2 linked regions of the Stegostoma tigrinum genome follow. The protein of the gene in region 2 interacts with the protein of the main gene of each other region in a pairwise test. Links are inferred from orthologs where the notes say so. Each region holds a gene or a part of one and is shown on either strand. Other genes may lie near its edges.

Region 1 (7,991 bases), on a different chromosome or scaffold from region 2:
TAACTCCACCTCTCTCCACGTCTATTTCTTCTCTCTTGCACTCTCTCACTCCATCTTTCTCTCTCTCTCGCTCTATTTCCCCTCTCTCGTACTCTCTAACTCCACCTCTCTCTCTATTTCTCCTCTCTTGCATCTCTCACTCGACCTCTCTCTCTCTATTTCTCCTCTCTTGCACTCTCTCACACCACCTCTATTTCTCCTCTCTTGCACTCTCTCACACCACCTCTCTCTATTTCTTCTCTCTTGCATGTCTCACTCCACGTCCCTCTCTCTCTATTGCTCCTCTCTTGCACTCCCTCACTCCACCCCTCTCTCTCTCTATTTCTCCTCTCTTGCACTCTCTCACACCACCTCTCTCTCTCTCTCTATTTCTCCTCTCTTGCATTCTATCACACCATCACTCTCTGTTTCTCCTCTCTTGCATCTCTCACTCCACCTCTCTCTCTCCCTCTCTCTGTATTTCTCCTCCCTTGCATCTCTCACTCCACCTCTCCCCGTGTATTTCTCCTCTCTCGCACTCTCTCACTCCACCCCTCTCTCTCTATTTCTCCTCTCTTGCATACTCTCACTCCACCTCACTCTCTATTTCTCCTCTCTTGCACTCTCTCACTCCACCTCTCTCTCTGTCTCTATTTCTCCTCTCCTGCACTCTCTCACTCCACCTCTCTCTATTTTTCCTCTCTTGCGCTCTCACTCCATCTCTCTCTCTCTCTATTTCTCCTCACTCGCACTCTCTCACTCAATCTCTCTCTCTCTCCACTTCTCCTCTCTTGCACTCTCTCACTCCACCTCTCTCTCTCTCTCTCTCTATTTCTCCTCTCTTGCATCTCTCACGCCACCTCTCTCTCTCTCTATTTCTCCTCTCTTGCACTCTCTCACTCAACCTCTCTCTCTCTATTTCTCCTCTCTTGCATCTCTCACTCCACCTCTCCCCGTGTATTTCTCCTCTATTGCACTCTCTCACTCCACCTCTCTATTTCTAATCTCTAGCACTCTCTCACTCCACCTCTCTCTCTCTATTACACCTCTCTTGCACTCTCTCACTCCACCTCTCTCTCTCTCTATTTCTCCTCTCTTGCACTCCCTCACTCCATCTCTCTCTCGCTCTCTATTACACCTCTCTTGCACTCTCTCACTCCACCCCTCTCTGTCTATTTCTCCTCTCTTGCACTCTCTCACTCCACCTCTCTCTCTCTATTTCTCCCCTCTTGCACTCTCTCACTCCACCTCTCTCTCTCAACTTCTCCTCTCTTGCACTCTCTCACTCCATCTTTCTCTATTTCTCCTCTCTTGCATCTCTCACGCCACCTCTCTCTCTCTCTCTCTCTATTTCTTCTCTCTTGCACTCTCTCACTCCATCTCTCTCTATTTCTCCTCTCTTGCACTCTCTCACTCCACCTCTCCCCCTCTATTTCTCCTCTCTTGCATCTCTCACTCCACCTCTCTCCCCCTCTATTTCTTCTCTCCTGCACTCTCTCACTCCATCCCTCTCTCTCTATTTCTCCTCTCTTGCATCTCTCACTCCACCTCTCTCCCCCTCTATTTCTTCTCTCTTGCACTCTCTCACTCCACCTCTCTCTCTCTCTATTTCTGCTCTCTTGCACTCGGTCACTCCATCTCTCTCTATTTCTCCTCTCTTGCACTCTCTCACTCCACCTCTCCCCCTCTATTTCTCCTCTCTTGCACTCTCTCTGTCTCTCCACTTCTCCTCTCTTGCACTCTCTCACTCCACCTCTCCCCCTCTATTTCTCCTCTCTTGCACTCTGTCTCTCCACTTCTCCTCTCTTGCACTCTCTCACTCCACCTCTTTATATTTCTTCTCTCTTGCATGTCTCACTCCACCTCCCTCTCTCTCTATTTCTCCTCACTTGCACTCTCTCACTCCATCTCTCTCTATTTCTCCTCTCTCGCGCTCTCTCACTCCACCTCTCTCTCTCTATTTCTCCTCTCTTGCACTCTCTCACTCCATCTCGCTCTCTCTCTCCCTCCATTTCTCCTCTCTTGCACTCGCTCACTCCACCTCTCTGTCTCTCCACTTCTCCTCACTTGCATTCTCTCACTCCACCTCTCACTCTCTCTATTTCTCCTCTCTTGCATCTCTAACTCCACCTCTCTCCACCTCTATTTCTTCTCTCTTGCACTCTCTCACTCCATCTCTCTCTCTCGCTCTATTTCTCCTCTCTCGCACTCTCTCACTCCACTTCTCTCTCTCTCTCTATTTCTCCTCACGCACTCTCACAGTCCACCTCTCTCTCTCTCTCTCTCTCTATTTCTCCTCTCTTGCATCTCTCACTCGACCTCTCTCTCTCTATTTCTCCTCTCTTGCATCTCTCACTCGACCTCTCTCTCTCTACTTCTCCTCTCTTGCACTCTCTCACTCCAGCTCTCTCTCTCTCTCTCTCTCTCTCTATTTCTCCTCTCTTGCACTCTCTCACACCACCTCTCTCTATTTCTTCTCTCTTGCATGTCTCACTCCACGTCCCTCTCTCTCTCTATTGCTCCTCTCTTGCACTCCCTCACTCCACCTCTCTCTCTCTCTATTTCTCCTCTCTTGCGCTCTCTCACTCCACCTCTCTCTCTATTTCTCCTCTCTTGCATCTCTCACTCCACCTCTCTCTCTCTATTTCTCTTCGCTTGCACTCTCTCACTCGAGCTCTCAGCCTCTATTTCTCCTCTCTTGCACTCTCTCACTCCACCTCTCTCTACTTCTCCTCTCTTGCACTCTCTCACTCCAGCTCTCTCACTCTCTCTATTTCTCCTCTCTCGCACTCTCTCACTCCACCTCACTCTCTGTCCATTTCTCCTCTCTTCCACTCTCTCACTCCACCCCTCTCTCTCTATTTCTCATCTCTTGCACTCTCTCACTCCACCTCTCCCCCTCTATTTCTCCTCTCTTGCACTCTCTGTCTCTCCACTTCTCCTCTCTTGCACTCTCTCACTCCACCTCTTTATATTTCTTCTCTCTTGCATGTCTCACTCCACCTCCCTCTCTCTCTATTTCTCCTCACTTGCACTCTCTCACTCCACCTCTCTCTCGCTATTTCTCCTCACCTGCACTCGCTCACTCCACGTCTCTCTTTCTATTTCTCCTCTCTTACATCTCTCACTCCACCTCTCCCCGTCTATTTCTCCTCTCTTGCACTCTTTCACTCCACCTCTCTCTCGACTTCTCCTCTCTTGCACTCTCTCACTCCATCTCTCTCTATTTCTCCTCTCTCGCGCTCTCTCACTCCACCTCTCTCTCTCTCTCCCTCCATTTCTCCTCTCTTGCACTCGCTCACTCCATCTCTATTTCTCCTCTCTTGCACTCTCTCACTCCACCTCTCTGTCTCTCCACTTCTCCTCACTTGCACTCTCTCACTCCACCTCTCACTCTCTCTATTTCTCCTCTCTTGCACTCTCTCACTCAACCTCTCTCTCTCTATTTCTCCTCTCTTGCATCTCTCACTCCACCTCTCCCCGTGTATTTCTCCTCTATTGCACTCTCTCACTCCACCTCTCTATTTCTAATCTCTAGCACTCTCTCACTCCACCTCTCTCTCTCTATTACACCTCTCTTGCACTCTCTCACTCCACCTCTCTCTCTCTCTATTTCTCCTCTCTTGCACTCCCTCACTCCATCTCTCTCTCGCTCTCTATTACACCTCTCTTGCACTCTCTCACTCCACCCCTCTCTGTCTATTTCTCCTCTCTTGCACTCTCTCACTCCACCTCTCTCTCTCTATTTCTCCCCTCTTGCACTCTCTCACTCCACCTCTCTCTCTCAACTTCTCCTCTCTTGCACTCTCTCACTCCATCTTCCTCTATTTCTCCTCTCTTGCATCTCTCACGCCACCTCTCTCTCTATCTATTTCTCCTCTCTTGCACTCTTTCACTCCACCTCTCTCTCTATTTCTCCTCTCTTGCACTCTCTCACTCCATCTCTCTCTATGTCTCCTCTCTTGCACCGTCTCACTGCACCTCTCTCTTTATGTCTCCTCTCGCGCTCTCTCACTCCACCTCTCTCTCTATTTCTTCTGTCGCACTCTCGCACTCCACCTCTCCCTCCCTCTCTTGTCTCCCCCCCCCCCCTCCCCCTCCCCCTCCCCCCCCTCCCCCTCCCCCCCCTCCCCCTCCCCCTCCCCCCCCCCTCCCCCCCCCCCCCCCCCTCCCCCCCCCCCCCTCCCCCTCCCCCCCCCCTCCCCCTCCCCCTCCCCCCCCCCCCCTCCCCCTCCCCCTCCCCCCCCCCCCCTCCCCCCCCCCCCCCCCTCCCCCTCCCCCTCCCCCTCCCCCCCCCCCCTCCCCCCCCCCCTCCTCCCCCCCCCTCCCCCCCCCCCCTCCTCCCCCCCCCTCCCCCCCCCCCCTCCTCCCCCTCCCTCCCCCCCCCCCCTCCTCCCCCCCCCTCCCCCCCCCTCCTCCCCTCCTCCCCCCCCCTCCCCCCCCCTCCTCCCCCCCCCTCGTGTGTATTGCTGCGGTTCTCCCCGCCCCGTCCCGTCTCTTGTTGCCCCGGTGACCCTCACCACGCCCCCAATCCCACAATGCTCCTCTCACCATGGATCAGGGTAATGGACGTTTTTCTCCCGCTTTCCCTTCCTCTCTCGCTTTTCCTTTCTTCTTCGCGCCGGGTTTGGGCCCCGTGCGTTCTCTCCGGTTGCTGCGGGAGGCGAGTCTGTCAACGCGCCCGACTGTGAGTAACCTCCGGCTGGAGCGGGACTGAGGCGGCTTGACGATTACTCGAGAGCGGCCTAAACCGCCCGGAGTCCCCGCGGTAAAGTGCCGGACCGCCTGTCGCTGTGATCACCACTCCCCTCCTTCCTCCCATGCACTCTCTACACCTTGATTATCCCCATCGCCCTGATCTTGCTCCGACACCCTGATCATCGCCTACTCTCATCCCACCCCCCCCGCACTCCTTCATCTTCCCCCCTCACCTCCCCCCCCCACTCCCTCACCTCCCCCCCCACTCCCTCACCTCCCCCCCCACTCCCTCACCTCCCCCCCCCAACTCCCTCACCTCCCCCCCCCACTCCCTCACCTCCCCCCCCCACTCCCTCACCTCCCCCCCCCACTCCCTCACCTCCCCCCCCCACTCCCTCACCTCCCCCCCCCACTCCCTCACCTCCCCCCCCCACTCCCTCACCTCCCCCCCCCCACTCCCTCACCTCCCCCCCCCACTCCCTCACCTCCCCCCCCCACTCCCTCACCTCCCCCCCCCTCCCTCACCTCCCCCCCCCACTCCCTCACCTCCCCCCCCACTCCCTCACCTCCCCCCCCACTCCCTCACCTCCCCCCCCACTCCCTCACCTCCCCCCCCACTCCCTCACCTCCCCCCACTCCCTCACCTCCCCCCACTCCCTCACCTCCCCCCACTCCCTCACCTCCCCCCACTCCCTCACCTCCCCCCACTCCCTCATCTCCCCCCACTCCCTCATCTCCCCCCACTCCCTCATCTCACCCCCCTCCCCCTCCTCACCTACCCCCCTCCCCCTCCTCACCCCCCCTCCCCCTCATCTCACCCCCCCTCCCCCTCATCTCACCCCCCCTCCCCCTCATCTCACCCCCCCTCCCCCTCATCTCACCCCCCCTCCCCCTCATCTCACCCCCCCTCCCCCTCATCTCACCCCCCCTCCCCCTCATCTCACTCCCCCTCCCCCTCATCTCACCCCCCCTCCCCCTCATCTCACCCCCCCTCCCCCTCATCTCACCCCCCCTCCCCCTCATCTCACCCCCCCTCCCCCTCATCTCACCCCCCCTCCCCCTCATCTCACCCCCCCTCCCCCTCATCTCACCTCCCCCTCCCCCTCACCCCCCCTCCCCCTCATCTCACCCCCCCCTCATCTCACCCCCCCCTCATCTCACCCCCCCTCCCCCTCATCTCACCCCCCCTCCCCCTCATCTCACCCCCCCTCCCCCTCATCTCACCCCCCCTCCCCCTCATCTCACCCCCCCTCCCCCTCATCTCACCCCCCCTCCCCCTCATCTCACCCCCCCTCCCCCTCATCTCACCCCCCCTACCCCTCATCTCACCCCCCCTACCCCTCATCTCACCCCCCCTACCCCTCATCTCACCCCCCCTACCCCTCATCTCACCCCCCCTACCCCTCATCTCACCCCCCCTCCCCCTCATCTCACCCCCCCTCCCCCTCATCTCACCCCCCCTCCCCCTCATCTCACCCCCCCTACCCCTCATCTCACCCCCCCTACCCCTCATCTCACCCCCCCTACCCCTCATCTCACCCCCCTCCCCCTCATCTCCCCCCCTCCCCCTCATCTCCCCCCCCCTCCCCCTCATCTCCCCCCCCTCCCCCTCATCTCCCCCCCCCCCCTCATCTCCCTCCCTCCCCCTCATCTCCCCCCCCCACTCCCTCATCTCCCCCCCCACTCCCTCATCTCCCCCCCCCACTCCCTCATCTCCCCCCCCCACTCCCTCATCTCCCCCCCCACTCCCTCATCTCCCCCCCCCCACTCCCTCATCTCCCCCCCCCCACTCCCTCATCTCCCCCCCCCCACTCCCTCATCTCCCCCCCCCCACTCCCTCATCTCCCCCCCCCCACTCCCTCATCTCCCCCCCCCCCACTCCCTCCTCTCCCCCCCCCACTCCCTCCTCTCCCCCCCACTCCCTCCTCTCCCCCCCACTCCCTCCTCTCCCCCCCACTCCCTCATCTCCCCCCCCCACTCCCTCATCTCCCCCCCCCACTCCCTCATCTCCCCCCCCACTCCCTCCTCTCCCCCCCCACTCCCTCCTCTCCCCCCCCACTCCCTCCTCTCCCCCCCACTCCCTCCTCTCCCCCCCCACTCCCTCCTCTCCCCCCCCACTCCCTCCTCTCCCCCCCCCACTCCCTCCTCTCCCCCCCCACTCCCTCCTCTCCCCCCCCACTCCCTCCTCTCCCCCCCCACTCCCTCCTCTCCCCCCCCACTCCCTCCTCTCCCCCCCCACTCCCTCCTCTCCCCCCCCACTCCCTCATCTCCCCCCCCCACTCCCTCATCTCCCCCCCCCCACTCCCTCATCTCCCCCCCCCCACTCCCTCATCTCCCCCCCCCCACTCCCTCATCTCCCCCCCCCACTCCCTCATCTCCCCCCCCCACTCCCTCATCTCCCCCCCCCACTCCCTCATCTCCCCCCCCACTCCCTCATCTCCCCCCCCACTCCCTCATCTCCCCCCCCACTCCCTCATCTCCCCCCCCCACTCCCTCATCTCCCCCCCCCCACTCCCTCATCTCCCCCGATCTCCTTCCCACCCGCTGATCCCCACCCTGATCCCCCCCGACCCCACCCTGATCCCCCCCCGACTCCTCTTCCCTCACCCTTGTATAGCCCTCTCCCTCTTCCACGATGCCCTCTTATCCCACTTTCTCCCCTGCACCCTTTCCCCCAGACCCCTCCCATACCCTACCCTACCCATTCTTTCCTCCCCCCTTTGCACTCCCCCACCTCCAGCCGCCAGTATTGCGCATAAGCAGAAAGTCATGTATTTAAGACGTTTTTTGTTTTATTTTCAAAAGATAAAGATCTGCAAGGCACAGATGGTTCTGGATGTCTGAGTGGCATTGATGTTCGAAGACGTATCCCCATCAAGTTAATCTCTAAACAGTCTAACCGAAATAGAATCTCATCCCGTGTTCAGAGGAATATGAGCAGAAACTCTGCAAAGTCTCTCACTGCAGATGAAGGTGACAGGATGATAGCTTCATTACAAAATCAGGTTAAAAAGTGGTGTGGATTTTGTTAGGCGCACTTGCTTGGGGAGAATTACAGAATGATTACAGCAGAATAACGCACTGACCCCTGCCGCCTCCTTGTAACTCTGCAAACTTTTCAGCTGCTTGAATCTGCCTCCAAAATCTGTTATTGTAGTGGATTCTAGATCCTAACCACGCACTGTGTTTTAAAAATATGCTGTCTTAGCCTTGTTCTTTCTCTATGCACTTTAAATGTGTATTTTCTGTTGTTTGAATCATTTCACCATTGAGAGTAATTTCTGTCCATCTACTTTGTGGAATCCCTACAGTGT
Region 2 (7,863 bases):
GCCAGTGGATGTAAAGAAATTCATGGTACAACCCAAAGTGTAGCAAGTTCTTCTCATTGTTTAATCAATATGTTAATCTCAATCTACATTACTATTTGTTACCTATTCTTTCAGATCATTTGTTCTGGAGAACTAGGTATGCATTAGATCAGAGTGAAGAGAAGACATTATTTTAAATCCTGAGTGTACAGCTAAGCCCAAGAGGCCAAAGGATTTCTGTTATAGACTGTGTTAGCTAACCTCAGAGTAGTAGTTTAAATGATAAAATTGACATATGCTCTGCTTCGCTCAGAGAGGGGAACAACAAGACAAAACTAAAAAACATACAAATTTACTTAGGATAATGACAAATACAAGAGGTTGAAAACAGAGGCAATTAACAAAACAACAGCCTGCCCAAAAAAAGATGTATCAAAATTAATCAAATGTATTAAGTTTTAAATTAATTTTAAAATTAAATTTAAATTATTACAGGGTAGAAAGGATTTCTAGGAAAAAGCATCAGCTCGTAGCTCAATATCAGACACTCAAGCATCATAAGCATGCATTTGGAGACACACCACTGACTATTTCCACTATAACTCAAGTTTTGGCTTACATGATAAAGGCATACAGAGTGAAATGAAGTGGCAAGACTTGTCATTTCCCACAGTATATGAGCTATCATACATTACATCAAAAAACATTGAAACAAAAGTACATTCATCTCTAAAAGCCAAGATAACAACGTGTGGAGCTGGATGAACACAGGAGGCTGAGCAGGAATGCTGACGTTTTGGGCCTAGACCCCTCATCAGAAAAATCGTTTTTTTTATTTCAAAAGAATGAAGGAGATTATTAGTCTTATTCGTGTTTAGGCCCACAATGTCAGCTTTCCTGCTCCTGAGATGCTGCTTGGCCTGCTGTGTACATCCAGCCTCTCATCTTGTTATCTCAGATTCTCCAGCATCTGCAGTTCCTATCATCTCTAAAAGCCAAAATACCAGTTGCAGTAAATGAAAAGGAACCATTTTCCTTGTTATACAACTCTTCACGCTTTTGTTGTCCTGATCACCGTGAAATGACGAACATAAACAAAAATCACGAGAATTTAAATTGACTAGAGACAAACATAGTAAAACAATTGGCAAGAAAACAGACACGCAAGATTGGACACATTATTTTGTCATGTGTTCAGAAAGTCTTTACAGCATTTTGACTACCCAATTCATGCATAATAACGAATCTCTTCAACGCACACAAATCCCTCTTCACAATAAACCACTTCATCTGCATGCTTTGTAGTCTTGGTTTGGAATAATATTTGAGTCATTTATATTTATCCTGATAATACAGAGAGGGCATGCGCATAAACTGTGTACAGACAGCAAATCTCGTTCATTGACATTGGAATGTAGCACTTGATTGAATAACTGGAAAAAGTTTTTTTGTTGTCAATTTGACTTCTATAAATAAGTCAGAGTGCAATGTGACACCAAATTAAAATGTGTTGATGAGACAGCAGTAATTTCTGACAGGCCACCCACACGAGTTTTTAAGAAAATGTCTTGGCTGTTTCCACAATGAAAGCCATAAGTACGTTCCCCAAAGGGACCTCAGAAACTTTGGAGAACAAATCTCAACTGAAATCCAAGGACTTCAAAGTTCAGTTTCTCCAAAGACTGACCAATTAATTTCAGTCGAGGGACAGAAAACCTTTGATAGAAAGTATTTGTTTTAGTGGCCCTATTCTCCGACAGGCAGAAGACATTTTCAGGTGAGCTGGACTTTGTTTTGTGAAACTTGGGTGGCATCCATTTTGTAAAATTAAATCAAGTCATCACACAGGGGATTTCAACAAGTAGAGAAAATAAGGAGCAAACAATGGAATCAATTACCAATTTCCCCTGAATGAAGTTAGCAGGAATTTATAGAATGAAAAATAGGACAGCTGGTTAAAACGTAAAAGAGATAATTCAGTGCTTTAAAAGGGATCACCTAGTTGGTAAAACGCATTATAATCTGATCGGGGCTGTTTGGAAGCTAAAAGAGTGTTCCGGGGCTTTTCCCAGAAAATTAAATTAATTTTGTACAAGCCTTAGGGTGATTTTGACAACGTGTTTCTCCGACTTAGCTGTACTGAGCAGATGTTAGTAACAGTAATTCACTGACCACAGCATTGTGCACCATGATTAGTTAAAATTTTGTAGAGAAATTAAAATAATATCTATGACACACACTCGAGACCTCTTTAGATTAGATCAGGGGGTTGTTAGTGTAGAAACGCTGATAGAACTCTCTCATCCGAGCTCTCCTTCCTTTCACTGCACTCGAAACACAAACAGTCCACTAGGAAACAAACAGGGTCCCCACTCATGTTAAAACCTGAAATTTCCTTGCCAATATTGGAGAATTTGGGAATATAAAAGGTAGCACGGCTATAGTTGAAGATTGAACAAGAAGTTGAACAAAAGGCGAGACCAGCAGAATCGAAAGTCCAGCCACCGCCCTCAACACAGGCAGCAGATATTCTCTGTGAATGTATTTATCACCAATTCCTCCGGTAAAAGAGAGGGGGGTTGCGAAAAGAAACGGGATCTCGGATTCTTCTACAACCGAGGGCACTTTTAAAAAAAATTCAATTCCTTCTCACTGGATCCCTTTTTCTTAGGGATCCGGAAAGGATTCTCGATCCCTTTTCTGTGTTCCCACCCCCAAGGTTCTCAGTCTCGCTTCCGCATTTCTCCGTGTGAAATCCCCGCCGATCCTCACGTACTTTCCTGAACTCTTACCTCTGCCCAGAACTTGTCCCACCTCCACTGACGGCTCCCTGAAAGTGTAGCTCTTTGGCTCGAACCCTTTACATCCAGTCGATGCCTCGCCGCTCCAAACCTGTGGATACGGACAGGTTAACATCAAATAAAAGTACCAAACACAAATCCATCCTTCCCCTCCGTTTACAGCTCACACCGGGTCCCCCGCCGCGGCAACGGGGATAATTCGCACTCGCTCGGATGAAAGCTCAGCCGATAATGAAATTGATACGAAACTGAAGATATGGAGTGCAGGGCTAGGGGAACCGTGTAACAAACCGGAGGTCTTGCCCCCCTCCCTTCGCCAGAATTCAGATGTACACGGTCTAACCTCGTGAGAAGTAGAACTCACTCACCTGGAGCAGGAGGGTGACTATCCCCAGAAACGACAGCCTGTAACTCCCCATTGGGTTACGAGTCAGTTTCCAAAACGCGTTGTGCCTGTTGCCTCTGAATTCCACCTCCTCGTTCTCACTGACTTTCCCCTTCTCTCCGATCACCATCCTTCTCCAAAACTGGAAGCCAATCGCTGCCAATCCAGGTGACGTCTCCAGGTGAGTTTCTCTCTCATTGGCTGACGCCCGGATGCTTGTATCCAATTTTGGGTAAAGCTGGCGTCAGGTAAAGGCGGCGGCGACGCACCGACGCTCTCAGCTCCCAGTGATTGAAACTGTTGTAATAAATTCCCCCACTCCCAGTTTCAGGGGAAGGTGGCGGAAATGATGCCGTTTACTGGAAGGAGCGGGCATCAAAATAACTTGCTAAGTGTAAACTATCTGGACAGCGGCCTCTTGGAAAGTTGGCATCAATCCCATTTGTGTACTGTGGATCTGGGCAGCGCCTGCATTAATGTCGAGTTTGACCCCAGCACAGATCGGTGAAAAAGGAGGTTACATTCCAAACAAGGGTGACTGGAGTAGACAGTGCTAACTTAAGGCAACTGTTCTGCATATTTGGAGAGAATTCAAGTTCAGATATTGTCTATCGTGAAGCCATTCTAGATGATGAAATGTATAGGAGTCATTTCTCTGTAAACCAGAATTTCTAGAGAGGAGGGCAGTCTAGCGAAATTTAGTCTTTCATCAACCCTCCCTTGTTTCTGGCGTGGATCAGCAGCCCCGATGTTAATTGAGTCAACTTTAGCAGATTCTCCTTCATTAGAAGTTAATCTCGAAATCTCCCCGTCCTTTTGTACCCCTTTCAGGACACTCCTTACAACTGTTAAACGTGCTTTAGAAATACATGCCGTTGTTTCAAATACAGAAAACCTTATTCAGTGTTTTTTTTTCCAACCAGGACATCATCATGCAACTATTGTGTCTGTATATAAACACTTGCTGCTTGACAGTAGAGTCCGCAGGTACATAGGATAGTGAAGACGGGATTTAGCCTGCTTGCCTTTGTTGCTTTGAGTAAAGGAGTTGGGAGGTCATGATACTGATGTGCAGAACGTTGGTTGGGGCTCTTTTGGAATACTGCATTCGATGTTGTTAAAGTTTTAAGTGTTCAGTAAAGATTTACAAAGATGCTGCCAGGGTTGGAGTGTTTGAGCAATAGGGAGAGGCTAAATGGACTGGGGCTATTTTCCCTGGAGCATCAGAGGCTTATAGAAGTTTGTAAAATGATGAGGAGGCATAGATATAGTGAATAGACAAGGTCATTTCCCCAGGGTGGAGGAGTCCAAAACTGGAGGGCATAGGTTTTATGTGAGGAGAAAGATTTAAAAGGGACCTACGGGGCAACATTTTCACCCAGAGGGTGGTGTGTGCATGGAATGAGCTGCCAGAGGAAGTGATGGAGGCTGTTACAATGACAACATTTAAAAGGCTTCTGCGTGGGTATATGAATAGGAAGGGTTAAGAGAGATACGGGCCAAAAGCTGTCAAATGGGATTAGATAAATTCAGGAATAGTAGGAACTGCTGATGCTGGAGTCTGAGGTAACAAGGTGTGGAGCTGGAGGAACACAGCAGGCCACGCAGCATCAGAGAAGCTTTCCTGCTTCTCTGATGCTGCCTGGGCTGCCATGTTCCTCCAGCTCCACACCTAGATAAATTCAGGATATCTGGTAGGCATAGACGAGTTGGACGAAAGGGTCTATTTCCATGCTGTATGACTCTATTTAGTAGATATCTGTGACATTTCATCATAGCTAAAATTTAAAAGGCAGTAAATGTAAATAATTTCTTCCTTTATTGAACTGCTGCAGTCTGTGTAATCAAAGTAAACCACCTATACTGTTAGGGTGGGAGTTCCATGGTAATGACCCAGGGACAGTGAAGCAACAGCAATACATTTCCAAGTCAAGAGAGTATGTGTTTTGAAGGGAATTTGAAGGTGGTGATGTCCTCCCACATCTGCTAAATCTGCAGTAGAGTTATCTCCCTAAAGGGCGTAGACCTGGATTTGTAGGTTGCAATTGACAGAAAATGCTCCCAAATTCATTTATATGTAAAATCACAAACAAGTAGTCACAAATTGACCTCAGAGTACATCTACTTAGATTACTTCCACTCTGGGAATCACTGGACAATGGCTTCAAAAGGATATATCCTGTTAAGTAGAGTGAAACAATGTACTGGCTGCAGCTGGAGGCTGGTGGTATGGCAGTGAGGCAGTGGAAGAGGACTGGGACTTTGCAGAGATCGAAGGGAATAAAGAGGGGTAATGCATTAGAATCAACACAGACATATCTTGTTGGTACCTTGCCCAGAGGACTATTAGTTATGTCAGCAAGATTTTCAGCAGGAAGTGTTGGGATTGGTGAGCACGCAGCCAAACAAGGATGATGTAGTTCGAGTTCTTGTGGTCAATCACACATTTATGAGGGTTTTGGCTGAGAAATTGGATCATTCCTCAATTGAGGCGTGTTCCAGATGCAGCATTGACTGCATGCAATGTAAGCAACCAGTGGGAAGGCCACAAAACATTGAGCACTTATATACTAATGAGGAAGACCAATGTCAGGCGTGGCTGAAAAATGAGAACTGTACAAATAAGCTTTCAGGCCTTGCTCTGTTTACGGTGTGGAGTGAATCAATAAAAATATTTTTCAATGTGTTTACAACGTTGTTAGAAATAGCAAACAGAGGAAATCTTTATCAATATATTTGGATGTCACCACATGGAGTCTATGTACCAGAGGAAACATTCTCTAAACTATTTAAGAACGATGCAGTTAAAGTTTCTGTGATCAACTAATGTGTCTGTGAGGATGTGGCTTTTGGTGTGAAATGTAATCCTGAAACAGTTGCTGCGCTGCATCTAATCCAGAAATGGAAAGAGAAATGATGCTTTTGTAGCCATGCTGATTGGAAAGTTAATCAACAGGGCATTTTTATCTATCTTTACCCAAAGCTTCAACTGAGTTGCTCACACAGTGACACTTGCCTGTTGCGAATGCAAGAATCTTTGCACTGCCTAAATCACCAACATTGCTGATGAAGGAGGAAATTGAACATGCCTGTGTGTGTACACTTCCTAGTCCCTGCCACTTTCTATTTGCAGTTTTTCAATTTTACCCTAGATATTCTGAAATTGGGACAGAATAAACATAGTTATTAGCTTGTAGGGTATATTTGTACACTCACTGTTTAGGATTGGCAGATGCCTGGATTGGGGAGCAAAAAAGTCAGTCTTAATACATATTGATCCTGGTATGTGGGGTTGGGAGCCTGTTTTGATTCTAACACCGATGTGTCAGTACTTAGAAAGCCTTTCCAGCTTACCACATCTCTGTGCAAAATTTAATTCTGTAGCTGGCTTGGGATCTTAAGGAATGCCTAAGATTAAAAAAATTCTGAATTCCCTTTACCAAAGCAAACATTAACATTGAATTTGATCATTTTCTTATGAAAATTGTTGCTGTAATGGGATGGGGTAGGAATATTCCTCTCCCCTGCGCCAGTGTACTAACACCTGATCTCATGAGCTCTTGCTGCAGTCCTGTGAAAGGAATTTCACAGTTTGCAACACAGATTATTGTGCAATATATCAGCTTACTTTGAAGTTGTTGGTGCCACATTAGGCTCTTTTCCAACACTTTGTGCTTTGTGTTCTTGTTAGAGAATTGGTTTCTATCTGCAGGCTGACTCAACAGTACCCTATTACTTGCATGCCTGTACATGTAGCATATGACCTAGTAAAAAAATTACATATAGTATTATAAAATAGTCTTCAAGTCAAGAATTGGCAGGTGCTGTATTTTCAAGGGTGTGCCATTTACATGATAAATAAAATTGTGTCCTCCCTGCTCCAGCAAGGCTGCATAGATCATATACAACTATATAAAGCTGAAGTTGTCCAATATTTGTCTCTTAACTGTTACTACCAAAACCAAATTGCTTTGTACCTCATAAAATGATTAGTGTAATCACTGACTGGAATACTTTTGAATGCTTGGAAGAAGAGGTCAGGTTTTACATAGATGTAAGCCAAATTTCTTGTCAATCACTGAAACAATCTAGTATAATCAGTCATAATTCTGATGTTTGTGCAGATACTTGTCACTATTCACAGGCAATCCTTAACAGATATCCATCCCAATAATTAATCATCAGTCTAAAATAATTTACTGCACCATTTTTAGAATGTTTTTTCTTATTAATCATGTCAAGCTGTAGAATCTTGAGATGAAACAAAAATCTTGCCATTTATTAGACTTTAAGATGTGCCTCAAACAACATCTTCCCGGTGCTTGAATGTACACAATTATGGTGTAGTGGTGATGTCAGTGCGATAGTAATCTAGTACTTGAATTCAGTATTCTGGCAGATGATGACATTGTAATTCAATAAAATCCTAGAATAAAAAGCTATCATTAATGGTGACAGTATAACCACTGTCCTTTAGTCGTCACAAAAAAAACATGGATCACAAATGTGCTTTAGGGAAGGACATCTGCCATTCTTACCTGGTCTGGCCTACAGTAATGTGATTGACTCTTAACTGCTGTCTGGGCAATTAGGAATGGGCAATAAATTCTGGCCTAGGCAGTGATGCCTATATGAATAAACAAAAAAATCCAAATCTTAATTAGCCACAGAGTTTACTTATGTAAGACCAACGGAGGA

Evidence for each region. The genes of interacting proteins can lie anywhere in the genome.
Region 1: the proteins of cdh31 (region 2) and E3 ubiquitin-protein ligase Hakai interact in a two-hybrid assay, tested with the Homo sapiens proteins (2 studies listed by BioGRID, with this or other methods). The link is inferred for Stegostoma tigrinum from reciprocal best matches to the Homo sapiens genes CDH1 and CBLL1.

The regions. Positions count from the first base shown.
Region 1 is NC_081378.1:53,897,793-53,905,783, reverse strand, and holds the start of E3 ubiquitin-protein ligase Hakai, read left to right. Parts: upstream 1-4,498; 5' UTR 4,499-4,531; coding exon 4,532-4,541; intron 4,542-4,639; exon of another isoform or gene 4,640-4,747; intron 4,748-7,482; coding exon 7,483-7,650; intron 7,651-7,991. UniProt on the Homo sapiens protein: E3 ubiquitin-protein ligase that mediates ubiquitination of several tyrosine-phosphorylated Src substrates, including CDH1, CTTN and DOK1. Targets CDH1 for endocytosis and degradation.
Region 2 is NC_081369.1:40,081,982-40,089,844, reverse strand, and holds the start of cdh31 (B-cadherin), read right to left. Parts: upstream 3,390-7,863; 5' UTR 3,296-3,389; coding exon 3,149-3,295; intron 2,872-3,148; coding exon 2,772-2,871; intron 1-2,771.